Elephas maximus indicus: one gene and its partners. The protein of the gene in region 3 purifies or fractionates together with the protein of the main gene of each other region. This does not show direct contact. Links are inferred from orthologs where the notes say so. Each region holds a gene or a part of one and is shown on either strand. Other genes may lie near its edges. The genes, in order: RFC1, ATAD5 and RFC4.

The links.
Region 1: the proteins of RFC4 (region 3) and RFC1 fractionate together in Homo sapiens (co-fractionation; 7 studies listed by BioGRID and IntAct, counting the BioPlex papers as one, with this or other methods). This does not show direct contact. The link is inferred for Elephas maximus indicus from reciprocal best matches to the Homo sapiens genes RFC4 and RFC1.
Region 2: the proteins of RFC4 (region 3) and ATAD5 purify together in Homo sapiens (affinity purification with mass spectrometry; 5 studies listed by BioGRID and IntAct, counting the BioPlex papers as one, with this or other methods). This does not show direct contact. The link is inferred for Elephas maximus indicus from reciprocal best matches to the Homo sapiens genes RFC4 and ATAD5.

The regions. Positions count from the first base shown.
Region 1 is NC_064823.1:121,464,755-121,475,135, forward strand, and holds the start of RFC1 (replication factor C subunit 1), read left to right. Parts: upstream 1-3,807; 5' UTR 3,808-3,949; coding exon 3,950-3,952; intron 3,953-10,381. UniProt on the Homo sapiens protein: Subunit of the replication factor C (RFC) complex which acts during elongation of primed DNA templates by DNA polymerases delta and epsilon, and is necessary for ATP-dependent loading of proliferating cell nuclear antigen (PCNA) onto primed DNA.
Region 2 is NC_064837.1:26,694,832-26,705,212, reverse strand, and holds the start of ATAD5 (ATPase family AAA domain-containing protein 5), read right to left. Parts: upstream 4,400-10,381; 5' UTR 4,381-4,399; coding exon 4,315-4,380; intron 1,670-4,314; coding exon 1-1,669. UniProt on the Homo sapiens protein: Has an important role in DNA replication and in maintaining genome integrity during replication stress.
Region 3 is NC_064819.1:28,235,980-28,246,360, reverse strand, and holds the start of RFC4 (replication factor C subunit 4), read right to left. Parts: upstream 6,146-10,381; 5' UTR 6,067-6,145; intron 5,967-6,066; 5' UTR 5,846-5,966; intron 4,563-5,845; 5' UTR 4,551-4,562; coding exon 4,420-4,550; intron 604-4,419; coding exon 525-603; intron 1-524. Other genes in the region: ADIPOQ (adiponectin), read left to right, coding at 6,637-6,814. UniProt on the Homo sapiens protein: Subunit of the replication factor C (RFC) complex which acts during elongation of primed DNA templates by DNA polymerases delta and epsilon, and is necessary for ATP-dependent loading of proliferating cell nuclear antigen (PCNA) onto primed DNA.

The DNA of each region.
Region 1 (10,381 bases), on a different chromosome or scaffold from region 3:
GCTGACACATCGCAGGGATTGCAAAGAGGCCCAGGATGACCTTGTGAAGACCAAGGAGGAGCCATACCTGGTGATGCCCCTGCCCCCTGTGTGCCAGCCGATGAATGACCATGTCCAGGACAAGCTGCAGGAGGAGGACGCTGAGTACACGGGCTAGAGCACCGAACTCCCCAGTGAGGGCATCAGGGACTACTGCAAGGAGAAGCAATGGATCACTGAGGCCAAGAAAAATGACGTACTGGGGCAGCTGCTGACTTTGACCAACAAGTTGTCCCAGGCCAGAGATGAGAATAAGAGGATCCACAACAACATCAGCCACAATGAGAACATGTGGCAAGATAGGAACAAGTGCAAGATGCTGTGGCAGATCCGGCAGGGCAACACCAAGCGGAGGATAGATGAGCTTGAGGCCGTGTAGATGCTCTGCGAGGAGGGCAGGACTGTGGGCGGGCAGGTTGGGTGTGATGGCTTCTGGGAGTCACTGTCAGACACCTAAAACAGTTTTTTTTTTAGTATTCTAAATGTAGAACCCCCCCATCATATTCCAGTTTCTTTAAAAAGTGAGTAGTTATTTCAGTTATTTCCATGTCACAAAACAATTTGTGTATACATTGAGTGAGAAACTAATTTGTTCTGTAAACTTTCACCTCAAGCACAATTAAAAAAAAGAAATCTCACCTAAATTCAAAGAATCTTCAAAATGCTAAAAAAAAGAAACACAAAGTTTAAAAATAATGTAAGAGAAACTAAAACTTATGAGAAAAAAAAATCTAGTTAAATGAAAGAGGAACTGCCCCATAGAGTTTCCAAGGAATGCCTGGTGGATTTGAACTGGCCAGCCTCTTGGGTAGCAGCCATGGCACTTAACCACTACACCACCAGGGCTTCCAAAATGAAAGGAGAGACTCTTTAAGAAAAGGGTATGGAATGGGCCCAATCAAATAAAAGAATGTTGAACGCTATCAGCTGGGCAAGTTCCAAAGCTGTGTGAGCAACCCTGTATATTCGCTCAGCAGTGTCTTACACATAGGTGTTCAATGAGTGTGCAGGGGATAACATAAAGTGCAGGCAACTTTGGGTATGGCAATGTTTGAACATAAGTTTCCAGTTGTTCTCTAATCACCTGCTTAGGATTCCAACTACTTTTCCATCTGGAGCATTTAAGATGAACTGGTTCCCAAATGTCCTGTTTCCTCCTACTCTACAGCTAGTTTATTACGAAGTTCCCAGGTTCCTGCAACCTCCTAGTCTTTAACATTTTCTTCTCTTTTATCATTTATTTATTTACAACTCAGAGAACATTGCTATTTGGTTTAAGTCCTCTGAAATTATAGGCAAAATTTTGTGTGATATTTCTACTATGTATACTTTTCTGGGGGTGGAGGTAGGCTCATGGTTTTTATGGGTTTCTCAAAGGATCTAACAAGGCCTCCCCCAATCAAGTATTTTGTTGAGCAAATTGTGGGCTAGGGAAGTCCATTTTTGGAACTATATCTCCCTCAGTAACACTAGCTAGCCTTGCATATGAACAGCTATAATAATAGCTGACTTAAAAATTATTATTATTATCTGCTTATGTGCCAAGAACAGTTCCATAACAGTCCTATAAGGTATTATTTCATTTTACAGATGAAGAAACTGAGGCACAGCAGTGGTGTCATTAGGGTTGGTGTTACCCAGAGTGGTAACTCATGGTGTCACTCCTCACCCCCATGGATTCCTCCTGTACCAGACCATACACAATCCTCAGTAATGTTTTTTGTACTAATGTTATTCATAAATCATAATTCCTGTAAATCGCTCCTTCTTTTCCTTTAATTACTACTTCATTCTCAAAAAAGTTCTTGATATAGGTTCACGAATACTAATTAGCACAATATTGTAGTTAAAACACCAGAAAATGTGGCAAGATCAGCAACTATAAAAGCGTCGGCAGTAAAGAAAACAACAGCGCATGCTTGATGAAACCACATGATTCCAAGCATCCTTGTGCTTGGGTGATAATGACAGCTCTGCCCAGAGTAGAAGGTTTGAAAAATAAATTAACATAGAGTTTTAGCTTTGTAGGTACATTGATACATGTAAGCTGGGCTTATGAAAAAACCTTTTTGTTTTGTTGTTATAACTACATGGATATTTTCAGTCATTTTGGTGTCATTCCCTCTGATAGTATCACCTGCACCCCCCACATGCCCCTAGTGACGCCGCTGATACACAGTAATTTGCCCATAGTCACACAGCTAGCATGAAAATCCCAGCATACTGGCTTCAGAGGGACCTATACAATGAGGCCCTGTTCATGAGTAAGTTTACTCCTTTGTAAACTGGGAATAATAATAGTAGCCAGTGTCAGTGTGAGGATTAAATGGACTAAGATAGGATAGTCCATAGCTGCATGCCTGGCACACATTACAATACACATTTTAAAAATACAAAATCTCAATTCTCAGCCTCTCTGTATTCCAGGAGGCTTTGCTATCTTTCACTGTAGAGATATCAGTGTCATAAAGTGCATGACTAGACAGGGGGTGGGTGGGAAAGCCTGAGATATTGGTCTCCACACTGTACTCGTTTCTTCAAAAGCTTTTGGGATCATTGTTTTTCTACAGCGATGGCGATGCATCTTTTTTGTGTTGGGGCTCCATACACACCACTGCTCTTCGAGGGGTTTAGACAGTAGTGCTGGGTTGGGAATTAGGAGGCCTAGATTCTGATACTGGTTTAGATTTGGAACAAAGCTGGATCCCTTAACTTGTTTAAGCCTCATGGTTCTCATTTATAAAATGAGGTTGATGGTGGTGACTAAAAGATTTTACCAAAGTTCTTTTGCACTGAATTATACAATATAAAAATTGTCCTTAAACCCTGAGTCTTGCAAGTGGTTAACACGCTTGGCTGCTAACTGAAAGGTTGGTGATTTGATCCACCCAGAGGGGCCTCGGAAGAAAGGCTTGACAAGATACTTTTGAAAAAATTAGCCACTGAAAACCCTGTGCGCCACAGTTCTGTTCTGACGCACATGGGGCTGCCATGCCTCACTGTCAACTTCAGGGCAACTGATACTGGTTTGTTGTTGTTAGCAGCCACGTGCCCACTATGGCTTGTGAGGACCCCATGCACAACGGAATGAACCACTACCTGATTCAGCTGCAGACAGGACCACTGTGATCCATAGGGTTGTCATTGGCTGATTGTCAGAAGTAGATCTCCTGGCCTTTCTTCCTAGTCTTAATCTGGAAGCTCCACTGAAGCCCGTTTAGCATCGTAGCAACACGCAAGTCTCCAGTGACAGATAGGTGGTGACTGCACATGTCCCTGAGTGCACTGGCCGAAATGGAACAGAGTCCCCACACGGAGGGTGAGAACTCTATCAGTGAACCATCAATGCCTCGCGGTACTGGTTTAGCCTGGTGATTCTCAAACTGTGGGTCTCCACTAAGATTACGGTAAATATTGATCGGTGAAATTCTTGTTTCAGGGTAGATATTTATACGTAACATCTGAAATGTACTGTATATCTAAAATGAAAGAAATATGTACCCTATTGCAAGTGGTAGCGTAGGGCAGTGCATCCTCCATACGTGTAAGCGGGAGGAGCCTGGGTACGGCCTTCCGAGGAAAGTAACCAATCTCTGAAACTCAATTTAAGCTCCCCGCCAAAATCCGAAGGCGCAAATCTGAGCTCATACCACGACCTCTTCTCTGCTGGCTGTGGCAGTGGCCCGGGGCCATCCGGGGCGGCACCTAGGCCAACAGCGTACCTCCCCCTCCTGTCCGGGTAGTAGGGTAGCTGCGCGCCTTCTGTCGTCATCACCGGGCGCCGCTGCCTCCGCCTCCTTCCACTTCGCGGGAGAAGTTGTTGGCGCGAATGGACCCCGAGCCCCGGTAACGGATTCCCCAACCTGCCGACCCACCTGCTGCCCGTCCGCGCTTCAGTCGTTGGGCTGCAATGGTGAGCCCTTGGGGGACGTTGTGCAGCTCCGGGGCTTGGACCTTGCAGGCTGGGTGTGGACGGGGCAATGCTGGCATGCAGGATGGGGGTTGGGGGCGGTGGGTGGCTCCGGAGGGGAGGGAAGGCATAGAAGGGGCCACACACCAGGCACCGGTCACACTGTTTTCCTGGTCGCGGACTCCAGCCCTCGGCTGCGGTCAGTGCGCAGGGCTTTTGGTCCTGCGCGAGTGTTTCACTTTTCCCACCCTTGGGGGAAGGGAGGAAGGAAGGAACGTGATTTGGGGGCGCACCGTGAAGTTGTTTTCCTGTTCCGTGTTGCACCGAACCTCAGTTTGAGTCCTGCCTGCAATTTTTATATCAAGTATGGGTCATGAGGGAGAAGAATGTAAAAAAACTTTCCTTTGCTGTGAATAAGTTGTCTCAAGCCTTCAACTTTAATCATTAACAGCTGCGCGAAACGCTCATCACATAGCCATTTTGAGACCGAGGGCATGGAGAGATGCTTTATTTTGTTTAGGTGGGTTCACAGAAGTCAAGGGATAACAAGGTTTACCAGGGGGAAAAGTACAACGGATAGAAATAGATGTAATACATTTGACAGCTGTCATCTCTTATCACCTGACTTTAAAAATAATCTAAAGCAAAATAAAGCAGGAAAAACTCAACGCGTAATTCCGTATAAACCATTTAAGTAAATAAAAAGTGCAATAATTATGCAGCCCGCAAAACAGACATCCATGATGGTATGGCAATGAATACAGGTATTTGTGTGAATTATTTTTAACTTAAAGGACAATTTAAGATGCGTCATTAAACCAGAAGATACTTAATACTCAGACATAATTTTGTTAATCATTCTTCAGCATATTTGTCAGAATGCCACCATTCTGGGGGGAGAAAGTTTTAGGCCAGGTTGGGAAACTTACAGCCTTTTCTGTTTCTCCTCAAAGAGGGTTAAAATAATAATGATGACAGCCATCCTGTACCAAGTGTCTGCTTCAGCCCGGTATGTAAGCTGTTTGTTTTACATACCATTTTTCATTTAAACATAACAGCAATCCAGTTTTACAAATGGTAGAGGAGGCCTTCAGAGTTTAAATGGGTTGTCATGCAACGAATATGATTGAACTAAAATTAGAACTCAAGTTTTTCAGACTACTTTGTTGTACTGCCTCTCCAAGATGGTCACCATTGCATTTTGGAGTTCAGACACCATGGTAGTGTGGAAAGTTGATGAGATTTGGAGTCTTGAAGCTGAGAGTGGGGTGATGTTTTAGTCTCATTCTGCTATTTAATAGTTACTGGTCTCAGGCAAATAAGTAGCTTAACTTTAACCCCTTTAAGCCTCTAATTTCTTACCTGTAAAAGAGGGTGGGGGCAAGGAAATATAATAATAGCTGCCTTATATAATTGTCTTGAGAACCAAACAAGATATATAAAGCTTCCATTCCAGTGTCTGGCTTGTAGTAGGTGTTACACAACTACCAGTGATCTATTTTTCTTTATAGAAAAGTGACATAGTGTTTAAGCGTATGCCTCCGATATTGTTGTAATGCTGAACAGCTGCTGATATAGTTAACTTTTGGTCATTCGAGTACTTTAATTTTGGTTCTTTCCTATTTCTTTGGTACTTCTGCTCACAGTGCAGGTGAAAAATTAAGTCTTTCTCAGGAAAGAAAAAGTCAAATTGGTGAGTTTTATTGTTTGTAATGGGAAAGGTTTTATAGAGTAGGTATATTTTGGATTTTATTGGTGTTTAGCAAAACCCTAGACTAACATTCTGTTCAACAAATGTTAATTGAACACCTGTGCACAAGTTTTATTATAGTTGTTGCTGTTAGTTACAGTAGAGTCGGCCTCTGATTCATGGCAACCCATGCACAGTGGAACAAAATGCTGTCTGATCTTAAACCATCCCCATAATCTCTTGTGGATGGATCATTGTGGTCCATAGGGTTTTGACTGGCAGATTTTGTGAAGTAGATTGCCAGGCCTGTCTTCCCAGTCTTAGTTTGGAAGCTCTGCTGAAATCTGTTCAGCATCGTAGCAACACGTAAGCGTCCATTGACAGATGGGTGGTAGCTGCACATGAGGTACATTGGCTGGGAATCAAACCCAGGTCTCCCACGCATCCCACCAACCAAAACGCATAGAAGGCAAGAATTTTATCACTGAACCACCAATGCCTCTATAGTTCCTAACCTTTGTTAGGGTCACAGTTCCCTTTGATAAATGTGGTGAATGGTATGCAAATTTTCTGCCCAGAGAAATGCACATACACACTATTTTAGAGAATTCACATATCTTCTGATACCCATTCATAGACGCAAGGTAACAGATCTTGCCCTGAGAGCTTCATTTTTCTCAAATATTTTCCAATTAAAAATTATCAGTAAAGGAATAAAATACCATATCCACACAGTGAAATATTATGTTGTTATTAGTTCTTGTTGAGTTGATTCTGACTCATGGTGACCCTACATATGCAGAGTAATGCTGCTCCATAGGGTTTCCAAGGCTGTGACCTTTTGGAAGCAGTCACTAGGCCTGTCTTCCAGGGGACCTGTGGATGGGTTCAAACCAACCTTTCAGTGAGTGGTCATGTTCTTAACTGTTTGACCCACTCAGGGACTCCACTATGCAGCCATTAAAAAATGAAGAAAGTTCATGTCCTGATATGAAAAAATTGCCAAGATGAATTAAATGGAAAAAGTAAGGTGCAGAATAGTGTGTAAAGTATGGTACCACTTAATGTAGTAAAATGGGAGAAAGAATACATACGTATTTGCTTGGAGATGCATAAACTATCTGGAAGGATACACAAGGAACTGAAAACATTTTTTGCCTCCAGGGATGGGAAGTATGGGCCTGAGAGGCAGGGTGCAAGGGAGAGTTTTACCCTTTGGAATTTTGAACCATGTGAATGCGCTATCTGTTAAAGAAATTGAAACAAAATTAAAAATAAAAAGGAATTAGAAAAAAGCCATATGGACTCCTATGAGGATTTAACTGTTTGCTCAAAATGTGAATAAAACTTGAGAGATGCCATTTTTAAGAAGTCAGCATATTTAATTCATTGGCTGATATGTTGTTGTTATAAAGTTGTTAGGTGCCATCAAATTGATTCTGACTCATAGCAATCCTATGTATAATAAAACAAAACACTGCCCGGTCCTGCACCGTCCTCACAATCGTTTTTATACTTGAGCACATTGATGCAGCCACTGTGTCAGTCCATCTTGTTGAGGGTCTTCCTTTTTTTTGCTGACCCTCTGTTTTACCAAGCATGATGTCCTTCTCCAGGGACTGATCCCCTCTGATAACATTCCCAAAGTATGTGAGATGTAGTCTAGTCATCCTTGCTTCCAAGGAACATCCTGGTCTTACTTCTTCCAAGACAGATTTGTTCATTCTTCTGGCAGTCCTTGATATAGTCAATATCATTCTCCAACACCACAATTCAAAGGTGTCAATTCTTCTTTGGTCTTCCTTATTCATCCTCCAGCTTTCACATGCATATGAGGCAATTGAAAACACCACTGCTTGGGTCAGGTGGTTGGGTCAGGCATACCTTAGTCTTCAAGGTGACATCTTTGTTTTTCAATGCTTTAAAGAGGTCTTTTGCAGCAGATTTGCCCAATGCAATGGCCTTTTGATTTCTTGACTTACTGCTTTCATGAGTGGAAATGCTGGTGATGTACTGGTAAAGAGCTACGGCTGCTAACCAAAAGGTCGGCAGTTCGAATCCACCAGGTGCTCCTTGGAAACTCTATGGGGCAGTTCTACTCTCTCCTGTAGGGTTGCTATGAGTTGGAACTGACTTGACGGCAACGGGTTGTTTTTCGGGTTTGCTTCCATGAGTGTTGATTGTGGATCCAAGTAAAATGTAATCCTTGACAGCTTCATTCTTTTCTCTGTTTATCATATGTTGCTTATTGGTCCAGTTATGAGGACTTTTGTTTTCTGCATGTTGAGGTGTAATCCATACTGAAGGCTGTGGTCTTTGATTTTTGTCAGTAAGTGCTTCAAGTCCTCTTCACTTTCAGCAAGCAAGGTTGTGTCATCTGTATGTTGCAGGTTGTTAATGGGTCTTCCACCAATCTAATGCCCCATTCTTCTGCATATAGTCCAGCTTCTCAGATTATTTGCTCATCATACAGATTGAATAGGTGTGGTAAAAATATACAGCCCTGATGCACATCTTTCCTGACTTTAAACCACACAGTATCCCTTGTTCTGTTCGAACGACTACCTCCATCTATGTACAGGTTTCTCATGAGCACGATTAACTGTTCTGGAATTCCCATTCTTTGCAGTATTATCCATAATTTGTTATGACCCGCACAGTCAGTGCCTTTGCGTAGTCAATAAAACACGGGTAAACATGTTTCTGGTATTCTCTGGTATAATTATTTTTTATTGAAAATATGCATAAGGTTGAACTACACATTTATTAATTTTAAGGAATAACCTTTTTGAAGAGCTGTCGAAACCTAAAAAATCAAATCCGTCGGCATCAAGTCGATTCCAACTCATAGTGACCTTCTAGGACAGAGTAGAACTGTCCCATAGCATCTCGAAGGAGCAGCTGGTGGATTTGAACTGCCGATCTTTTAGTTAGCACCCGAGCTCTTAACCACTGCACCACCAGAGCTCCAAGAACTGTCAAGTCAGTCTAAGTACATTGTAATCTGAGCTACTTGATTGCCCTACTCTGGTGTGTGTGAAATAGTCCTATTCCAGCAATGCTGTGACCCTATTACAATGTAGCTTTTGCCTGATGTTATTGTTTGGCCTTTAAGGCCTACATGGTCTGACCCCTACATAACTTTGATCTCATCTCTCTGTCTCTTGAACATGTTAAGCTGATTTTTCTCTTAGGGCTTTTGCTCTTACCATTTCCTCTCCTTGGAATGTTCTTCCTCTAATCCTTGCGTGTCTGCCTTTCCCCATCATTCAAGTCTCAATCATTACCTCCTCAGAGAGCCTTCCCCAGTTCTAGCTAAAGCTGCTGCTCTACTCTACAGTTCACCCTTACACGTTTTGTTCCCTAGCACTTGGCAACACCTGGAAATATATATATATATAAAATTCACCTATTTGAATTGTGTACTTCGGTAGTTTTCAGTATAGTCACCAAGTTCTGCAGCTGTCTCCACAATCAGTTTTAGAATTTTTATCACTCCAAAAAGAAAGCATGTACCCATTAGCAGTCATGCCCCATTTCCCTCTAATTCCTGTCCCCAATTCCTAGGCAACCACCAGTCTACCTTCTGTCTCTATGGGTTTGCTTAGTCTGTACATTTCATATGAATGGAGTAATACAATATGTATGGTCTTTTTTTTTTTTAACTGTGATTTAGGTGAAAGTTTACAGAGCAAGTTAGTTTCTCATTCAAACATTTATGCACAAATTGTTTCATGGCATTGGCTGCAATCCTGCATTGTGTCAGCACTCTCCCCCTTTCCCTTTCCACCCTGGGTTCACCGTGTTCATTCTTCTGGTTTTCCTGTCCCCTCACACCTTCTTGTCTTTGTTCCTGGGCAGGTGTTGCCTATTTGATTTTCTATACTTGATTGATCTAAGAAGCATGTTCCTCACGTGTGCTATTTGTCTTATAGATCTGCCTAATCTTTGGCTGAAAGGTGAACTTCGGGAGTGGTTTCAAGTCTGAGTTAGAAGGGTGTCCAGGGGCCATAGACTTGGGGGTTCTTGCAGTCTCAGTCAGACTAGTGATTCTGGTCTTTTTTTGTGAATTTGATCATTTGTTGTTTATTTTTCTCCCACTGTCTGGAATCCTTTTATTGTGATCCTAGCCAGAGTGGTCAGTACTGGTAGCTGGGCACCATCTAGTTCTTCTGGTCTCGGGGTTGTGTAGGCTGTGGTTCATGCGGTCCATTAGTCCTTTGGACTGATTGCTCCCTTGGGTCTTTAGTATTTTTCCTTCTCTGCTGCTCTGGATTAGAAGAGACCAACAGTTGTATTTTAGATGGCCGCTTGCAAGCTTTTAAGACTTCAGATGCTACTCACCAAAGTAGGATGTAGAAACATTGTGTTTAAGAATTAATTTGTGCCAATTGACGTAGATGTTCCCTGAGTCTGTGGTCCTTTGCCTTTGAGCCTGGGAACTTCATCCCGTGAAGTGTTTAGTTATGTCTAAGAAGTTTCCCTGACCATGCCACTTGTGTGCTCTGTTATGTGTATTAGTGTATGAGGAGCACCTACAGTCATACATTTAGAAATTTCTACCTTCGAACCTGCACCTGCCAGTGGGTGTGTTCCTTTACTTGCTCCTTCACCTCTTCATGTATTTATCTGTGTATCAATTTGTAGATCACTGCTATTTTTGCAGGATTGTCTATGCTATAGTAGTGACCACAGTTGTCCTTTATTCCTGCATTTCTCTCAGTGTGCTCTCTTGCCTTGTC
Region 2 (10,381 bases), on a different chromosome or scaffold from region 3:
CTGGAAGACTGGTTTTTCTTGATGACTTACTGTTGTTATGTAGAGAGGAAATCTCTAAAGGGTCAGCCTTTGCTATATCGTCACAAACAAGACTTTTACTTTTAAATAATGTGCTGCTTTTGAAAACTTCTGTTTTCTTACGCCTTAAACTCATTGTAACTCTATTTTGACTTTGCTTATCTTTTAAAGAGGTTGTTTCTTTCTTTTGGGTATTTCCTTCTCTAGTCTCACCTAGTACAACCCCAGTATCTAATGTTTTCTTACTCTTTTGCTTTAGTTTCTTACTTTTCTCCTTAGGAAAACTTCCTTTATCAGTGTGTGACTGTGAAGTGTCGTTATTTGAAATCATTTGGATATTAGCATTTTCCAGGATGTTTTTAGAACTACTGTCTCTTTCTTCCTCAAGTAAAGCTTTTTCATTAAGGTCTTTGTGTTTATCAGAAGACTTCTTCACTCCGTTTTTAAGTGCATCTGATGCTGGCTGCCTAAATGCTTTCATAAACTGCTGTCTTTCTTCTAGAGTGCACTTTGGCTTCACAGCTTCAGAACTTCCAGCTTCCAACACTGCCAATTCTAGTTCTTCCTCCTGTATAACAACATTAGATTTTCTTTTCTGAACTGTCTGTTCACTTTCAGGATCAGAGAGACTATTTTCCATTTCAATTTGCTTTTGTTTCAAGAAAATTGAGGGTATTTTCCCTGCCTTTTTAGGGGGTACAGGGTGAACTTGTGCAAGAACAGTCATTGTCTTAAAGTGTACCTGCTGAGAATTTTCACAGGTTTCTGTATCACTTATATAACCACTTTTGACTATCTCTCCAACAGTTTCAGAGGGGACACAAATTGACACTGACGTTGTAGAGTCTGGTAGCTGTTCCACTTTGTTTTCCTTGTGACTTTTTAAAAATTCCTCATATGGAACAGTTATTGTGTTATCATTTAACTCAGCGATTTTAGATACATTATCTCCAGGGTTTGCATCATGCGCAGTACTCTCTATTTCATCAGTTAGGGAAGATATTATCTGTTGATTATCTTTACCATCTTTTTTAAGATTTAGTTCCTTTGCCAAGGATAAACTTTCGGAGAGATCTACTACATCTCTGTGCTTCCTTTTTCTTATTTTCTTGCAATCATTTTTTGTGGTGCCTTGTTTAGGGTTTACTTTCTTAGAATTCTGTTTGCGGGTCATATTGCTTGACTGGTTTTTGAAATCTTGAATACTTTCTGCAGGTACCTCTACATGTTTCTGGTGGAGTAAAACAGAAGGACTGCTTTCTTCAAAGTCATTATTTAAACTAGAGTCTTCTTTGCTATCATCACTACTTATTTCAATTGGAGATTCATGTCCAGTTTTAACATTATTTAGTTGACGTGATAAATTAACTCTCTTTCCTCTCTTCTTAAACTGTACATTTGAGAACGGTTCCAAAGGCGTTTTATAATCTTTGCCACTGTCCACAGGCAATGGTGCAGATGACTTTATCTTACACTCTTTCGTTGATTGAGTCCTCTCATTTGTAGGTGAAGTTTTTCTAAAATAATCCAGAATATTATTGGATTTTGGTGGAGAGAAAACTCTAACTCCAGTCTTCTCTATTGGTGATAAATATTTCGTAATTGTTTTAAAGGAAGATCCATCATCATCTTTCCTTCGCTTTTTGCATGGCTGTAGATTTAAAAGAAGGAAAAGAGGCACTTATTTCAAGAAAAATAATACAAAATATAAATTTAAGACACGGATCTAATATTTAAAGTAATCGGATAAAGAAAGGAAGGCTCCTTTATGTGACGAGCATGATATACTGGAAAGAATATGAACTTTAAAATTAAATCTATATTGAAATCTCAATGTCCCAATGATTTACCTTAAAACTTGTGTGCTTTACTGTATATATATAATTATAAACAAAAAACCAAGCAAGATACCATCAAGTTGATTCTGACTCACGAAGACTTCATGTGTTGCACAGTGGAAGTGTGCTCTATAGAGTTTCCAAGGCTATGACATTTTGGAAGCAGATCGCCAGGCCTCTCTTTCAAGCTGCCTCTGGGTGGGTTCGAAACTCCAATCTTTCAGTTAGTAGTCAAGCGCTTGGCCATTTGCACTGCCCAGGGACTCCTTATATATATTTGTTTACATTAAAAAATTGTTCACATTAAAAAAAATCCAAGCCTACTATACTTATGAGCAAATTCCTAATTCTTCTCAGTCTCTGTTTACTCTATAAACTTTAGATAGCACCTTCCACCTTAAAAATTGTACTGAACACATTACACAAAAATATGTAGTCTGACGATGGTAGGAACTCTACACATATTATATTCCCTTTTTATTATTTTTAGTTAAAAATAAGCACATTACCCTAACTATTGCTAAGAAACAGGGACATAGTCATCAAGCCTAGGATCCCAAAATTTACTAATCAAGTAGAAATTACAGTGCAAGTTCACCAAAAGAACACTTACAAGTCTAGTGTTTTAATTTGCTGTTAAAACCGTTGCTGCCTTTCTTTTACGTTAGTTATTACCTTTACAATATCAAGATGACTATAATGCTAGGCATGTTTAAATTTTTATTGGTTATAAGTCAGTAATTTACATAATAGAAAATAAATATTACCTTATTGGTTACAAAAAGCACCATCAGTCTTTCTTTTTTTTTAATTTTAACTTCCCTCAGTTCATTAGTTAGAATAAATTTAATAAAATAACAACGAAATCCTTTAAAAGGTAAGTAATGAATAGAGGAGTTAGGCTTCTAGAAAATTAAAATTATATAAAGCTATCATGATTTAAAGTGTAGTGCTGGAGCAGGAATAGGTAGGCAGGTCAATGGAATTGATTAGAACACCTGAAATAGACACAAGTATATATTTAAGAACTTAGAAAATAAAGTAGTGACAAAAGAAGGAGTATTTAATAAATGGTATTGAGACAACTTCTAACCATTTGGATAAATACGAGGCAAAATAAATTACGGAGGGATTAAATCTGTATATGTTAAAAAGAAATCATAAACATTTTAGAAGAAAATACTGATGAGTATTTACATAACCCTGAGATGGTATAAGAGGCACTATACTATATGCTCTGGAGTCAGGCAGATCTAAGTTTGAGTGCTGGCTCTGACATCTTCTAATGTGAGACCTTAAACAAACTAAACTTTTAAATCTTCTTCTCTCATCTGTAGAATAGAAATAATAATATTTCATTACAGGGTTGACGTTAAGCAAAATAATGTTTATAAAGCCTTTCCCTTTACCATACTTAACAGTGAATATCACTATTACGAAATAGGCTCTCTAAGCAGGCCACCAAGAGCAGAAACCATAACCCGAAGACTGATAAAAGTGACCACACAAAAAGCCAAGAACTGTGTAATTCAAGTATCAGAAGACCTTCTTCATACCTAGATAATCTGAGTAACTGCCTTGACCTAGCAAACAAGTATCCCCCTTAAATGAGTGTACATCTGGGTTCATTCAAGACACCAGAGCACATACTTCAGTTTGAATGCTAACACGAGATGAAAAGTTGTAAAGATGTAATGTCTGTCTTAAAATGCTGGCCTGCTACTTTCTGGTATTAGAATCTTCTTTCAAAATATGCTTGGAGCTCTGGTGCTGCATTGGTTAAGAGCTAGGCTGCTAATCAAAAGGTCGGCAGTTGGAATTCACCAGCGGCTTCTTGGAAACCCTATGGGGCAGTTCTACTCTGTCCTATAGGGTCACTATGAGTTGGGATCGACTAGACGGCAACAGGTTTGGTTTATAAAGAATGCTTAGAGTATTTCACTGAAACTTGACGAACAAACATCAGCACGGCACACTGGGTCTTCCAACTGCAGTATATTAAGATCTAGAGCCATGGGTAATAGATTTACCCTGCTTGATTCTGGCAGTGACACTGTAAGTGGCATTCCCAGAACAGGGAGGATAAAATAGGTGGACTTAAAGCTCTTTTTCAACTCAAATTCTAGGATTCCATATCATGAACCCAGAACCTGACCATGGGATCCTCCGTGACATCTCACAAGTCCAAAACATCACAGTCCACCAATATTTCAGAATCTGGGCACTGGCCATGGTATCTTAAGTCCTAACTTACTGCAATTCTCTAAACATCTCACAATACCAGGGTTTGTCGGAATTCATCACGACTCTAAGAACGACACACTCCAGCAACTGTTCCACACGATGTCATTCCTGGGGGGCCTCTCCGTGTTCCTCCTTTCCCCTCTGAGATGCAAAGTCGGGATTACCACCACCCGTTTTCCAACAGCCGGAGAACTCGACAGACACTCGATCTCACCTCAATCTCGTAGTCCTTGACTGGAGGGGGAGCAGCCGCCGCCGCCATGGCAAGGACCCCTACCATGTTCGCCGCTTCCCGGTGCCCCTGCTCCTAGGACCTTGCGCGGACCGGGTCGGCCAGCGTCTCGGCCATGGAGGCGGCCCGCTCCTGGAGGAGCGCGAAGTTGGGCCGCGGGGTCCGTCTCGGATTCCCCTGCGCCCACCGGCCCGGAGCGGGCTCGGAGGCCGGGCCCAGCTCAGCCAAGTCGAACGCGGGAAGGAGCGCTGAGAAAGCGCGGGCGGCGAGGCACTCGGGGCGCGGCCGGTAGGCGCGGGGTGACCCCTCCGGGCGGACGACCCAGGCCGAGTGCTCGGGACCGGAGCCGGGGCAGGGAAAGCAGACCGAACGCAGACCGGACCGGAGGGCTTCCCAAGAAGTTCTCGTCGATTGGGTTTTCGCGCCGTCCTGAGCGGAGGGGGCGGAGCTTAGGGTTGCTCTGGAAGCCTGCGCGGACGGTGAGCTGAATGGGCCAAAACACTGTCGTCGGCGAGTCGGCGGGAGGCAGGGTCATTGTATCACGGAATGTAAAGCCAGTGGGGAGTGTGCAAATTCTTCCTTCTGGTGTCCAGTAGCCCGGCTTCAGATGAGAATGTGGTTGAACGAAGGTACCTAGTCAGTTGGTGGCAGAATTAAAACCCTGAACTCTTGACCCGGACTAGCCCCTTCTTTAAATTGGAAATTTGAAAATTACAGAAAAAAAAAATTGATTATATTCCTACTACTCAGATAAAATGTTAATATTTTGGTATGCGTCCCACATCAGATATACTATTCTGGGCCCGACATTTCGACTTTATACCCCTAATTTGAAGAGGCGTTTCTTTCTGTGGATTTCGTCCTCGTGAGCAGTCCAGGAGCCCGAGCTCACCGCCTCAACTGGTTGACGTGTGTTCAGTGCTCGCAGGTACCAGTAGTTTGCTGGTTTGTAGTGATGGTAACCTAGTGCGTCATTTGCATTGTTTTCATGGACTTGTTTAGCCTTTACTTTTCTGTTATGTTAATGTTGAAGTGCCTACACATAGTGTATGTTCTACTCCGTCCTATGGGTCGCTATGAGTCGGAATGGACTCGAGGGCACTGGGTTGGGTTAGTGTATGTTTATTTCTTTTGAGAGGATAGTTTTAACTGCAAAATAAGTAAGAGCGGATACAAAGCAGGTAAAGGGACTTAACTAATAATGGGAAGCCACCTTGTTAGATCGGGTTATGCAAAGTGATTTTAAATACTGAAGTAATTGTACCCATCTTTATGGTTTTTGGTGCTGTCTTAGAGTGAGTTAGGAACCCTGGTGGCTGAGCCCACCAGTTGCTCAGCAGGAGAAAGATGTAGCACTCTGTTTCTGTAAAGATTTACAACCTTGGAAACCCTATGGGGGCGATTCTACTCTGTCTTGTAGGGTGGCTGTGAATTGAAATCCACTCCACAGCGGTGAGCTACAAACAAAGAAAACAAACTTGTTGCCCTCTACTCAATTCCGACTCATAGTGACCCTATAGGATGGAGTAGTATTGCCCCACAGTGTTTCCGAAGAGCAGCTGGTCGATTCAAACTACCATCCTTTTGGCTAGCATCCAGATGCTTAACCACTGCACCACCAGAGTTCCTACTTATAAGCACATATGCATTTTCCCCAATAAAATTAGTAAGAATTACTTTTCCCTTGAATATTAGTACCAAATAAGGTTTGTCAGGAGGGGAAGATTGTACTACTTTCAGTCTTCTGAGAATATACCGTTTTGTTGTTGTTTTTTTTTCTAATAACTCACGTAGTATAGATACATTGCCCTGAAAAAGGAGGAGGAGAAGAAGGAGAAAATGTGGAAGAGGAAGAAAAAGAAGACACACAAAAAAATTACAGAGCAAACTATAAATCTCTTTTGACTTGCACTCCCCAACTCGATCTCCTCCCCAGAGGTAATCACTCCTAGCTATTTGGTATGTAGCAATGTAATATTTTTTTTAATACTTACGTACAGGTATCCATAGGAAATCTTTAGCATGGTTTTTATTTATATAAATAGTATCACTGTAAATATTCCTCGGCAATTTGTTTTTTTCACACACCATTGTTTGAGAGCTATCTATGATGCATGTAGATCTAATTCATCTCCTTTCATTCGTAAGTATGCCATCCAATTATACACTACATTTTATCTGTTTCCTTAGTGATGAATATTTAGGTTGTGTCCAGTTTTCTGTTATTCAAACATTCTTGCCCATGTCTCCTTGAGTACGTGTAATGATTCTCTAGGATAGACATCTAGAAGTGAAGTTGGTGGGGTATAAAGTATGGGAATGGGAATTCCAGAACACTTAATTGTGCTCATGAGGAACCTTTACAGAGATCAAGAGGCAGTTGTTTGGACAGAACAAGGAGATACTGATTGGTTTAAAGTCAGGCAAGGTGTGCATCAGGGCTGTATTCTTTCACCATACCTATTCGATCTGTATGCTGAGCAAATAATACAAGAAACTGGACTATATGAAGAAGAATGGGGCATCAGGATTGGAGGAAGCCTCATTAACAACCTGCGTTATGCAGATGACACAATCTTCCTTGCTGAAAGTGAAGAGGACTTGAAGCACTTACTAATGAAGATCAAAGACCACAGCCTTCAGTATGGATTGCACCTCAACATAAAGAAAACAAAAATCCTCACAACTGGACCAATGAGCAACATCATGATAAACGGAGAAAAGATTGAAGTTGTCAGGGATTTCATTTTACTTGGATCTACAGTCAACAGCCATGGAAGCAGCAGTCAAGAAATCAAAAGACACATTGCATTGGGCAAATCTGCTGCAAAGGACCTCTGTAAAGTGTTGAAGAGCAAAGATGTCACCCTGAAGACTAAGGTGCGCCTGACCCAACCCATGGTATTTTCAATTGCATCATATGCATGTGAAAGCTGGACAGTGAATAAGGAAGACTGAAGAAGAGTTGACGCCTTTGAATTGTGGTGTTGGCAAAGAATATCGAATATATCAAGGACTGCCAAAAGAATGAACAAATCTGTCTTGGAAGAAGTACAACCAGAATGCTCATTAGAGGCAAGGATGGCGAGACTGTGTCTTCCATACTTTGGACATGTTGTCAGGAGGGATCAGTCCCTGGAGAATGACGTCATGCTTGGCAGAGTACAGGGTCAGCAGAAAACAGGAAGACCCTCAACGAGGTGGATTGACACAGTGGCTGCAACAATGAGCTCAAGCATAACAACAATTATAAGGATGGCTCAGGATGGGGCAGTGTTTTGTTCTGTTGTGCATAGGGTTGCTATGAGTCAGAACGAACTCGATGGCACCTAACAACAACAACAAGGTATGTCTCTAGTGCTTTTTTTTTTAATAATTTATTTTATTTTTGGTTCTTTGAGAATATTCATAGCAAAACATACACTTACTCAACAGTTTCTATATGTACAATTCAGTGACGTTGATTACATTCTTTCAGCTGTGCAACCGCTCTCATCCTCCTTTTCTGAGTTTTTCTTCCCCCATTAACACAAACTCATTGCCCCCTAATCTTCCTATCTGACCTTTCCAATTGCTGTTGTCAATTTGATCCCATATAGCTAGATCTGAAAAGAGCACAACGCTCAAGCAGACATTCTTTATTATTTAAGGTAAACTTCTGTTTGGTTTTTAGGGGCTAGTTTTGGTTTCGGTTTATGTTTCAAAGATTATCTCAGGACAATAGTTTCAGGGATTCATCCAGCCTCCGTGGCTCCAGAAAGTATGGATTCCATGAGAATTTGAAATTCTGTTCTACATTTCCCTCCTCTTGATCAGGAATCTTCTAAAGAACCTTTGATCAAGATGTTTAGTAATGGTAACCAGGCACCATCCAGTTCTTCTGGTTTCATGGCAGAGATGGCAGTTGTTCATTGAGGCAGTTAGCCACACATCCATTTCCTCCTTCTATTCCTGACTCTCCTTCTTCCTCTGTTGCTCCGTGCAAATAGAAAGCAACTGTGCCTTGGATCTCTGGCACTTTTTATTCTTCTGAATTATGAAGCATTTATACTGAGTTTATTTTTATAAATGTGGTTATTATTTTACATAACCCTTAATTAGGAGCTCCTGGCATTTATTAATTTTAAATTAAATGAATTGTCATGTTTCTATAGTCATTTAGAGTTTATAATATACTTAGAACATCTTCTCCATCCGGCTAACCCTTACTTTTTTCAATATTGCTTGTGTTTTTTATTAAAGTAATGCTTGCATTTGATTAAAAAGCATCACAATTTTTTATTATTAAAAAAAAAAGCAGCTCGGCTCTGTTTCATACCCTAGGTCTGTTTCCTGGAGGCAGCCCATTTTCAACTTTTTTTTAGCAGTATATCTCTTTATTTTTATACTGTAATGTTTGCATAGCTCTTAGTTAATGTAACACTTGTAAACAGTATTCATTAATGTCCTGTTATAGCGGTTGAGGATTTACTATAATACTACCCTCCACACTTCCTCTTCTTCCACCCTCCAATATTGTTATCTCACCATGTTTTGTTAAATTATTAATGTTACATTTTTATGACTGTGTAAATATTGTTTACTACTGAACCAATGGCTTACTTTCACTTCCAATTTTGTTGCTTTTCCTGGAATTAATGCTTGCTTCTTTTTTTCTTTTTTCTGTTTACTTCGTTTCTGTGTACCTCTTATCAATTGCCAAGGGTGAAAACAGTTGACAATAGGTAGGTCAGAGCACCAAAGAATCTGTGATCATTAAGGTTGTGTGTCAACTTAGGTGGGCCATGATTCTCAGTGGTTTGGATGTTATGATGTAGTTTGACAGCCATATAATGATGTGGTCACCTCCATGATGAGATCTGATATAATGTGATCACCTCCATGATGGGATCTGCTGTGAGTAGCCAATCAGTTGAAAGGGAGCTTCCTTTGGGGTGTGGCTTGATCCAGTACATGTGGACTTTCTGACAAGGCTTGTGGACTATTGCCCACTCTAGATCCTGCAACTGACTCCTGTTCATCTGACCTCTGGTTCTTGGGATTTGAACTAGAAGCTTGCCTGCCGTCTTGCCAGCTAATCTCGGGATTCTTTGGTCTTCGCAGCCTATGAGCCAGAGCCCTGCTGTCTGACTTGCCGATCTTGGTTTTTCCTGCTCCTGCAGCTACGTGAATCAAGAAAAGCCTCCAATCTGACCCATGGACTGAGGACATTTCAACCTCTATAACCACAGGAGCCATTTCCTTAATATAAATCTCTTTCTGAATGTATTTATACACATTACTGGTTTTACTTCCCTAAAGAACCCAGCATAAGAATCAAAATAAGTTCTGGCACTTAGGGCTAGAATAAGATCTAGAGGCCCCCTGCTATGACAGACATTAACCCAGTAGTTTCTGGATCCTGGGTAGGCTGTGGGTCTGGGAGAATGTGTCAGGGGGCTCAAATCATGACTACTTACCAACTAACCAGTATATCATACGTACTGAGTATCTACCCATCCTGTTATTAATTCTTTTTTTTAACAAATGTTTAAAGAAATTTGTCAGATGCCTAGCAAAAGTTTTCAGATGTTCAACACTCCACCCAACAGCAGCCAAGTATACTTTCTTTTCCAATGCACATGGAACATTCTCCAGAAAAGACCACATATTAGGGCATAAAGCAAGCATTAACAGGTTCCAAAACATTAAAATATTCCAAAGCATCTTTTCTACACATAAAGCAATAAAAGTAGAAATCAATAACAGAAAAAGCAAGGGAAAAAAGTCATGGAAACTGAACAACACCTCGCTCAAAAACTTTTGGGTTATAGAAGAAGTTAAGGACAGAATAAAGAAATTCATAGAATCAAATGAGAATGAAAACACTTCCTACCAGAACCTTTGGGACACAGCAAAAGCAGTGCTCAGAGGTCAATTTATAGTAATAAATGCACACATCCAAAAAGAAGAAAGGGCCAAAATAAAGAATTAACCCTACAACTTGAACAAATAGTAAGACAACATCAAAAGAAGGCCTTGGGCACCAGAAAATAGCAAATAATAAAAA
Region 3 (10,381 bases):
TGGGATTATCTTGTCTGTGAATAATCTAAAATGCAAGTTACTCAAGGACATTTTACCCCACAGCAGGAGACACAGTGCTGTAAGCAGAATTAAACACTCAATGCTTTCTTACATTGTGGTTCAACCCAAATCCTAAAGTTAGGGCCATTTTACCTTAAAGGTTGACAGAATACACCCAGAGGCGCCTTGGAAAAAAACCCTAGAGATCTGTTTCAACGTCACAACCAAGAAAACCCTACGGAGTGCAGTTACACTCTGCAACACATGGGGTTGCCATGAGTCAGAATCAACTCGATGGTAACTGGTTGGTTGGTTGGTGAGTACTATATAACAATGCCACTTAGGAGTAGGTAGGAGATGCTCAATAAGTATTTGTTGGACTAATTATCCATTGTCCCGATGGTTACCAAGGGCCTACTATATTCAGCATGACATTAATGGGAGGGAGCTATTATAAAGAAAGAAAAAGGTTAATAAATTAAGTCCTAAGCTCCCAGTGACATTAAACACAATTTTCTACTCACATCGGCTCCTTCTAAAGACTTTTTCAGCACCGCCACCACCTCTTCTTGGAAAGCAACTTCATCCACACGTTTTGGGCGACTGGAAAAAAAGAAAAATAGGGTATTTAGTATATTGCCATAGTCACAGAAAAGTCTTAGGTGTTGCTTCTGCTAAAATTATCAATGACAATTCTTATTTCAGTAAGGAGAAGAGAAATTTGTTCATAATTGTGAGTAGTTAGAAACCCCTTTTGTATTTATCTTAAGCAAATACAAACTGAAGGAGTGAAATATTTTTCACTTCCCATCTGCATTTTTACATGCTATGTTTACAAAAATTATGCAAAAGGCTTTGTTTTGCTACATCACAAAAGCCAACTGGTTACAAGTTAAAGTGAATATTTGACTAGAAAATATTACACTTTGACAAGACCATGAAGCTGAGCTTAGAAGGAAGTACACTATTTAGTAACCCCAAGATACCAAACTAAAAAACCAAACCCATTGCCGTCAGAATGGATCCCCACTCATAGTGACCCTATAGGACAGAGTAGAACTGCCCCATAGGGTGTCCAAAGAGCACCTGGTGGATTCCAGCTGCCGACCTTCTGGTTAGCAGCTGTAGCTCTTAACCACTACACAACCAGGGTTTCCAACCTCAGGGTAAGAAGCGCTAACGTTGCTAATACCAGTATCTTCCAGCACCTTACTGCACAGAAAACACTGGAGATCTGTTCACTTCAATGAGGACTAACAAGTTTAACAAACATGAAGTACAGTAAAATTATATAATTTTAGTCTCACATCATTAACTAGTGATTTTAAGAGAAGCTAGAACAGTTACACTCCCAACCCTAAGACTGGGCATTGTACTCAGTTAACTAATCAAAAGCTTTTCTTTGATCAAGTCTTTTCTAATTAATCAGGTCAATACTAAAAAAAGATAAATTTGTTTTTTTTTTCTAATTAATCAGGTCAATACTAGGCAGGAATTATATGTCAGATGATGTTTTATAGGGAAACCACTAATACTATATAAACCAGTGTTTCATATTCAAATAACTGCTGGGCCAAGGCAGATACTGAGAAGGAGAGACAAGAGAAAACAGTGGGGACTATGGCACTGGTGGCACAATGGTTAAGAGTTCTGCTGCTAACCGAAAGGTTCACAGTTCGAATCCACTACCTGCTCCCTGGAAACCCTATGGAGCAGCTCTATCTGTCCTATGGGGTTGCTATGAGTAGGAATTGACTCGATGGCAACAGGCTTGGCTTTTTGGTTGCCCAGTCTTAGAGGCAGAAAAACTAGAATGTCATGGATTGAACTGCGTCCCCCCAAAATATCTGTCAACTTGGCTAGGTCATGATTCCCAGTATTGTACGACTGTCTACCATTTTGTCATCTGATGTGATTTTCCTATGTGTTGTAAATCCCATCACTATGACGTAAGAAGATGGATTAGTGGCAGTTATACTGATGAGATCTACAAGATTTCACAGTGTCTTAAGCCACTATCTTTTGAGATAAAATAAAAGAGAGAAGCCAGCAGAGAGACAGAGGGATCTTATATCACCAAGGAAGCAGTACCAGAAGCAGAGCATGTCCTTTGGACCTGAGGTTCCTGTGCGGAGAAGCTCCTAGACCAAGGGAAGATTGATGGCCAGGATGTCCCTCCAGAGCCAACAGACACAGAGCACCATCCCCTGGAGCTGACACCTAAATGTGGACCTGTGGCCTACTAGACTGTGAGAAAATAAACTTCTCTTTGTGAAAACCACCCACTTGTGATATTTCTGTTGTAGCAGCACTAGATAACTAAGACATCGATTTTTAAAAAAATTTTCTTATTGTACTTTAGATGAAGGTTTACAGAGCAAACTAGTTTCTTATTAAATATGCATAGTGCTCGTGCTGCTAACCAAAAGGTCGGCAGTTTGAATCCACCAGGCGCTCCTTGGAAACTCTGTCAGGCAGTTCTACTTTGTCTTATAGGGTCGCTATGAGTCGGAATCGACTCAACGGCTACGGGTTTTGGTTTTATGAATATTGTTTTTTGACACTGGTTGCCAACCCCATGACATGTCAACACTCTTCCCTTCTCGACCTTGGGTTCCCCTGTCCTCTCCTGCCTTCTAGTCCTTGCCCTTGGACTGGTGTGCCCATTTAGTCTCATTTTGTTTTATGGGCCTGTCTAATTGTTGGCTGAAGGGTGATCCACAGAAGTGAGTTCAGTAATGAACTATAAGAGTGTCTCAGGGCCACACTTTTGGGGTTTCTCCAGTCTCTCTCAGGCCAGTAAATCTGGTTTTGTTGTTTTTTTTTCTTTTTGTTAGAATTCTGTTCTATATTTTCTCTAGCTCTGTCCGGGACCCTCTATTGTCATCCCTGTCAGAGCAGTCAGTGGTGGTAGCCAGGTACCATCTACTTGTGCTAGCCTCAGTCTGGTGGAGGCTGTGGTGGTTGTGGTCCATTAATCCTCCGGACTAATCTCTCTCTTGTGTCTTTGGTTTTCTTCATTCCCCTTTGCTCCAGACGGGGTGAGACCAGTGGAGTATCTTAGATGGCTGCTCAGAAGCTTTTAAGACCCCAGATACTACTCACTGAAGTAGAATGTACAGCATTTTCTTTATAAACTATGTTATGCCAATTGAGCTGGATGTTCCCCACAGCCCTCAGCCCATTAATTTGGTCCTTCAGGGAGTTTGGATGTGTCTATGGAGCTTCCATGATATAAACTAGATTTTTATGTGAAATTTCCCATTTTTTTTTTAAAAGCATTGTTGGGGGAAAACAAAACTTATGAGGGTTTTACGTGGCCTATAAGTCATCTGCAAACCCTCAGTAAATAAGGGCACATTCAGTGCTTGCAGTGGTTAAGCTCTCCACTGCTAACTGAGTGGTTAAAACCCACTAGATGTGCCATGGGAGAAAGATGTGACAGTCTGCTTCTGTAAAAATTATAGTCTTGAAAACCCTAAGGGGCAGTTCTACTCTGTCCTATAGGATCACTGTGAGTCGAAATCAACTCGATGGCAAAAGCTTTTTATCGTAATATTTCTTAGTTGATTGACAACTTATGAGGCACTTCGAGTGTTGTTTTTGACAAAAAGGTATAAACACACAAAACCCCAACAATTTTCACCTATTAGTAATGAAATGGGAAACAGGTTATTTGGACGTAAGTAAACTTCTGAACAAGAGCTTATAGAAACTTTGTTTTCTTCACAGCTGTATCCCAGCCCCTAAAAATGTGCTTAGTGTAGAGAAACCTTGGTCCATCCACAGGATAAGGGAATTAAACAAGATCATTCTAAGGCATCTTTCAGTTCTAAATCTCCATGACTTAAACAAGTGGTGATTTTTAAGGACAACATGTAAGCAAAGCAATTCACCCCCCCTTAAGTAAAACAAGTGATCAAAACGAGTTGTTGCTGTTAAATGCTATGCATCAATTCTGACTCATGGCAACCCTGTGTGTCCAGAGCAGAACTGCTCCACAGGGTTTTCAAGGATGTGAACTTTCGAAAGCAGATTGCCAGACCACAAGGTCTCCCAAGGTGCCTCTGTGTGGATCCGAACCAGGGCTGAGAATACGCATTTCTAACAAGTTCCCAGGTGATGCTAATGCTGCTGCTTAGAGACCAATTCTGAGAACACTAGTACAGCAGTGGTTATTATACATAATATGCTTAATTTATCACACATAAGAATCATCAGGGATCTTGTTAAAATGTAGATTCCGATGCAGTGTATCTGGGGTGGAAATGCAAATACTCAGCAGGGGTTTGAATAAACCAAAGCCCTGGTTTAAACTGCCAACCTTTTGGCTACTAGTTTGTGCCACCCAGGGACTCTTTCAAAACTGGTTAGAGAGGTTATTTGTTAATTATTTTAAAAAAACAGAAGCGTACTTACTATTTTTCCACCCATGGAACAGGTTTGGCTTTCTTGTTCTCTCCACTGCTTCCTGCGGTGGCAGCAACTCCTCGATCCTTGGTGAGTGCTGGTTTAGTACTGACAGATGCACCTTTTAGAAATGCCTGCATGGTTACTTCACCCTGACTCACAGAAGACAGAAAAGGAAAAGCTACTTTGAAATCATTAGGAGGAAGTACTTCCTGAAAGCACGCTTAAAGTTATGCAAAGACATTCAATCATTGCATACTAAATGAAGGACATCACCCCATGACCTAGGACCCTCTGAATGCATTGTACAGAGGGCTACAAGGACACATAAGAGGCCAAAGTCCTTAAGGAGCTTAGACTCTATATACAGCGAGGGAGTTATAGAACCAAGAGAAATCTTATGTCAGAACCCAAACACCATTTCTTAACAGCTCCAAACTCTTTGATAATATGTCACTAATGGTCAAACTGTACATGGGCCTCTATAGTCTCCTCCATTTCAGTCAAGGGCTTGGTGCGAGCCCAGGCCCTGGGATGAGCTCAGCATTCAGGGGTGCTGGGACCACAAATGAGGACCTCCACTCCTTTTCTTGAGCACAGAGCTCTGCTCAAGGACCTATTTTACTGGCAGAGCCAATGACTGCCTTCAGAAGCCTTTTTTTTTTTTAAATGGGGCAGGGTATTCTGTTGTTAAAATGGAAACGGCTGTTTTTCTTTTTTAATAATGTGCTCACTATCAGAAATCAAAACAATGTCACTGAAACGAACTGGTGTTATGCTCTGCTCTGTATACTCTAAACAAAAAACAAAATAAATTATATACAGAAAAGCATGAGGAATTAAAAATTCGTAAGAAATCCCACCCAGAGACAACCGCATTCAGGTAAACGTTCTTGCAGGCAGGGGGAAGGCAGTTGTTAGGGATAGAAAAGCATCATCTGCTTGCCTGAAAGTTCACAGCATTAGTGGCCATTCTATATTGTTCACTGCTGTATCCCCCCAGTGCCTAGAATAGTGGCAGGCGCTCCATGATACCTGGTGAATGGATTACCACCTAAGATGCTCGATTTCCCTCTGTAAAAGACGCTAAAGCCTATTCCATAAGGTAACCGAGTTAAACAAAAGAATACGTGTGCAAACACATAGGTCCGTGCTTGGCATGTGGACGAACATTCAATAAAGTATATTGTTAATATCTGTGAACAGTCAAGGTTTTAACGTTACTACTAAAAGTACTCGATGCTTGCCACGGGCTGCTAAACAGTAATGCAGCCCAAAGCAGGGCTCTGAAACAGACACTGCGCCACGCCGCAAGTGCAAGACGGGGTGCAGACCGGGGATGAGAAGGTGGCGAGGCTAGAGCGCTACGGTGGACGTGACAGACATCACAGACCCATCAAGGGCGCAGCAGGAGTAGAGGAAGGCGAAGGCAAACCTGGCAATCTCCCGCCTGGCCACCTGTCCTCTTCCACTCCGCGCGGGGACCCGGGCACAACCTGGGCCTTCTAGCCACTCGTCTCCGCAGCGAGGACGACACCGCCTCGTTTGTGGGGTTTCTGGAAAGGACAGGGCGGTCACGAAGTGTTAGCTCCTTTCCCCAAGCAGAGGACCCCAGGCCCGGGAAGCTCCGAGACACCAGGTCGCAGGGAACTTAACAGTCGCCGCCGTTCCTGCAGCCGCCTCAGTTCCCGCCACGGAACAGCCGGCGCAAAGCAGGGCGGGAAGCGTGCGTACGCAGCGCGTCACTTCCGGTCTTCGGCGCGCGCCGCTCGTTTTAGGGGTGCCTGGAAGATTTTTTTTTGGAAGATGGGGCGAAAGGGTGGTTGTTACTCATGAGTGGCCTTATTTAGATCCTTGGGCTCATAGACAGACTTGTAGGGACGCAGAGATTGGAACATGTCTAAGGAGGTTTAAATAAAAGTCCACCCTGTCCCCGTGCATTCCTCCGACAGGCTGTAGGACAGGGAAGCTCGAGCGCGACCGTCCCCGAAGGACGGGGGGCCAAGCAAGCAAACTGGGGGCACGACGCTCGGGCCACTCAGCGGGCTGCTCCGTGAACGTGGGCGGGGCGAGTCTGCGACCCTTCACAGCCACGGCGGGTGGGGCAGAGCGCGCCCCGGGCTTGGGAACCCCGCCGCCCACCCTGGCTCTCAGGGAGGCCGGCTCTCTTTTGAGGTGCGAGCTTGCAGAACGTGAACCCCAGCACCGTGAACTTCATTTGTAGTCATGGGGCGTTTACTGGCCTTTCTGCGGCGACAAGATGCGGCTGGCCACGCGCTGCCCCCCACAAAGGACGGGGTTGGGAAAGCCGGAGGCGATCCTTCGCCAGAAGAGGGCAGCCTGCGGACCCCGGTCCTCTCCCTCTGGCTTCGTCGCGGAGCAAAACCCCGTCTGTCCTTCAAGGGTAAGCACAGAGACGTCTGAAGAAAATGCCTTTCCTCGGCCGCTGGAACGCACATGGTTTGCACCTCTCTTACTGTCTGCCGAGACGGAGGACTCTGCCCTTCAGCTATAACCCCGCCCCCCCCCAAAAAACCAAACCATCGCCGTGGAGTCGATTCCGACTCACAGCGACCTTATAGGACAGAGTAGAACTGCCCCATAGAACTCCCAAGGATCGGTTGGTGGAGTCGAACTGGCGATCTTTTGGTTAGCAGCCCTTCAGCTATGGTCATCTTTTAAAGCCCCGCTCAGAATCTAGGGTGCCGGCGCTCAAAAAAGTTATGTGATGGGTGGTAATGTTTAACCCCACCAGGATACATGCACCGTGGGCTTTAGGCAGGTGTCTGAGAACACTCTTTTTATCTTTCCTCAGTACTTAATTTAGCTCTGAATTGCTCCTAAATCCTATTGAAATCAGACCCTTTTCAGATGCTACCTTTTCAAAACCAAAAAACAAGTCCATTGCTGTGCAGTCAGTACCAACTCATAATGACCCTATAGGACAGAGTAGAACCACCCCACAAGGTTTCCAAGGAGTGGCTGGTGGATTTGAACTGCCGACCTGTTGGTTAGTAGTCAAGCTCTTAACCACTACACCAGCAGGGCTCCACCTTCTTTTCAGACCTTTACTAACTACCCTAATGCATATGATATAGGTCTTTTCCAAATGAAATGACTAAGTTTTGGGGGCACATACTCAACGTGATAAAACCAGTTGCTGCAGAGTTGATTCCGACTCATTATGGCCCCATGTGTTACAGAGTAGAACTGCTCCAAGGGTTTTCATTGCTGTAATTGTAGCTGAAGCACATTGCCAGGGCTTTCTTCTGCAGTACTACTGGGTGGGTTCGAACTGTCAACCTTTAGGTTAGTTGTTGAGGGCAAACAGTTCTACAATGAAATATATGAGGTTGCTGAGTCGGAGATGACTTGATGGCAACTGATTTGGTTTAAGATCCCTGGGTGGTGCAATCGATTTGCACTCAACTACTAACAGAAGAGTTGGCTGTTTGAATCCACCCAGCAGTGATGTGGAACAAAGTCTTGGCAATCTAATGCCATAAGATTACAGCCATTGAAAACCCTATGGACGGCAGTTCTATTCTGAAACACTTGGGGTCACCATGAGTCAAAATCAACTCAATGGCAATTTTTTTTTTTTAAGTCTTTCAGAAATAGGTTGCTAGGCCTTTCTTCCAGGGTGCCTCTGGGTGGATTCCAACTGCCAACCTTTCTGTTAGCAACCGAGTGCTTAACCATTTGTGCCATCCAGGGACTCTAGGATTGGCACAGAGGTGCCTTTATGCTAAGCAGGAAAAAAAGAGACCTGAATGGTAGCAGGTTTGGGAGACCAATTAAAAGAAGTGCTCCCTTCCTTCAGGCATATTCAGCCCCTTGATGGTGTGAAAGACTAGGTGATTAGAGGCTGGGCTGGATCTCAGCCTCTACTTACTCCTTCAGCTGGCCATTCCTGTGCACAGCCTGACCCAGGTAGTTCACAGATTTATGTGCACATGAAGCATTGTCTCTGTCACCAGAACAAGAAATGTCTTGTGTAAATACATACTGTTTTCTGCATTACACATGGGTGCTTGTGTGATTAAACCAGGTGATAAACTTATAGTAAAAAAAATAAAAACCAAGCCTGTTGCCATGGATTCCAGCTCACAGAGACCCTATAGGACAGAGCAGAACTGCCCCATAGTTTCCAAGGAGCAGCTGGTAGATTCAAACTGCTGACCTTTTGGCTAGCAGCTGTAGCTATTAACCACTTATTATTTATTTATTTTTAGTGGATAGTCATTAAGATGCTATTATGCCACTATTATGTGGAGAATCCCCCACGTGTCTGTCAGTTTATTGTACTGTGGGGGCTTGCGTGTTGCTGTGATGCTGGCAGCTATGCCACCGCTATTCAGATACCAGCAGGGTCACCCATGGAGGACAGGTTTCAGCTGACCTTCCAGACTAAGACAGACTAGGAAGAAGGACCTGGCAGTCTACTTCTGAAAAGCATTAGCCAGTGAAAACCTTATGAATAGCAGTGGAACATTGTCTGATATAGTGCTGGAAGATGAGCCCCCCAGGTTGGAAGGCACTCAGAAGATGACTGGGGAAGAGCTACCTCCTCAAATTAGAGTCGACCTTAATGACGTGGATGGAGTAAAGCTTTCAGGACCTTCATTTGCTGATGTGGCTCGACTCAAAATGAGAAGAAACAGTTGCAAACATCCATTAATAATCAGAACCTGGAATGTACGAAGTATGAATCTAGGAAAATTGGAAATCGTCAAAAATGAAATGGAACACATAAACATCGATATCCTAGGCATTAGTGAGCTGAAATGGACTGGTATTGGCCATTTCGAATTGGACAATCATACAGTCTACTATGCTGGGAATGACAACTCGAAGAGGAATGGTGTTGCATTCATCGTCAAAAAGCACGTTTCAAGATGTATCCTGAAGTACACCACTGTCACTGATAGGATAATATCCATACGCCTACAAGGAAGACCAGTTAATACAATTGTTATTCAAATTTACGCACCAACCACTTGGGCCAAAGATGAAGAAATAGAAGATTTTTATCAGCTGCTACAGTCTGAAATTGATCAAACATGCAGTCAAGATGCATTGATAATTATTGGCGATTGGAATGCGAAAGTTGGAAACTAAGAAGAAGGATCAGTAGTTGGAAAATATGGCCTTGGTGATAGAAACAATGCTGAGGATCAAATGATAGAATTTCGCAAGACCAACGACTTCTTCATCGCAAATACCTTCTTTCACCAATATAAACAACAACTATACACATGGACCTCACCAGATGGAATGCACGGAAATCAAATTGACTACATCTGTGGAAAGAGACAATGGAAAAGCTCAATATCATCAGTCAGAACAAGGCCAGGGGCTGACTGTGGAACAGGCCATCAATTGCTCATATGCAAGTTCAAGCTGAAACTGAAGAAAATCCGAGCAGGTCCACGAGAGCCAAAATATGACCTTGAGCATATCCCATCTGAATTTAGAGACCATCTGAAGAATAGATTTGACGTATCGAACACTAGTGACCGAAGACCAGACGAGTTGTGGAATGACATCAAGGACATCATCCATGAAAAAAGCAAGAGGTCACTGAAAAGACAGGAAAGAAAGAAAGACCAAGATGGATGTCAGAGGAGACTCTGAAACTTGTTCTTGAGTGTCGAGCAGCTAAAGCAAAAGAAAGAATTGATGAAGTAAAAGAACAGAAGATTTCGAAGGGCGGCTCGAGAAGACGAAGTATGATAATGACATGTGCAAAGAGCTGGAGATGGAAAACCAAAAGGGAAGAACACACTTGGCGTTTCTCAAGCTGAAAGAACTGAAGAAAAAATTCAAGCCTCGAGTTGCAATAGTGAAGGATTCCATGGGGAAAATATTGAACGACCCAGGAAGCATCAAAAGAAGATGGAAGTAATACACAGAGTCATACCAAAAAGAATTAGTCGATGTTCAAGCTGCTCTGAAGGCATTGGCGAAA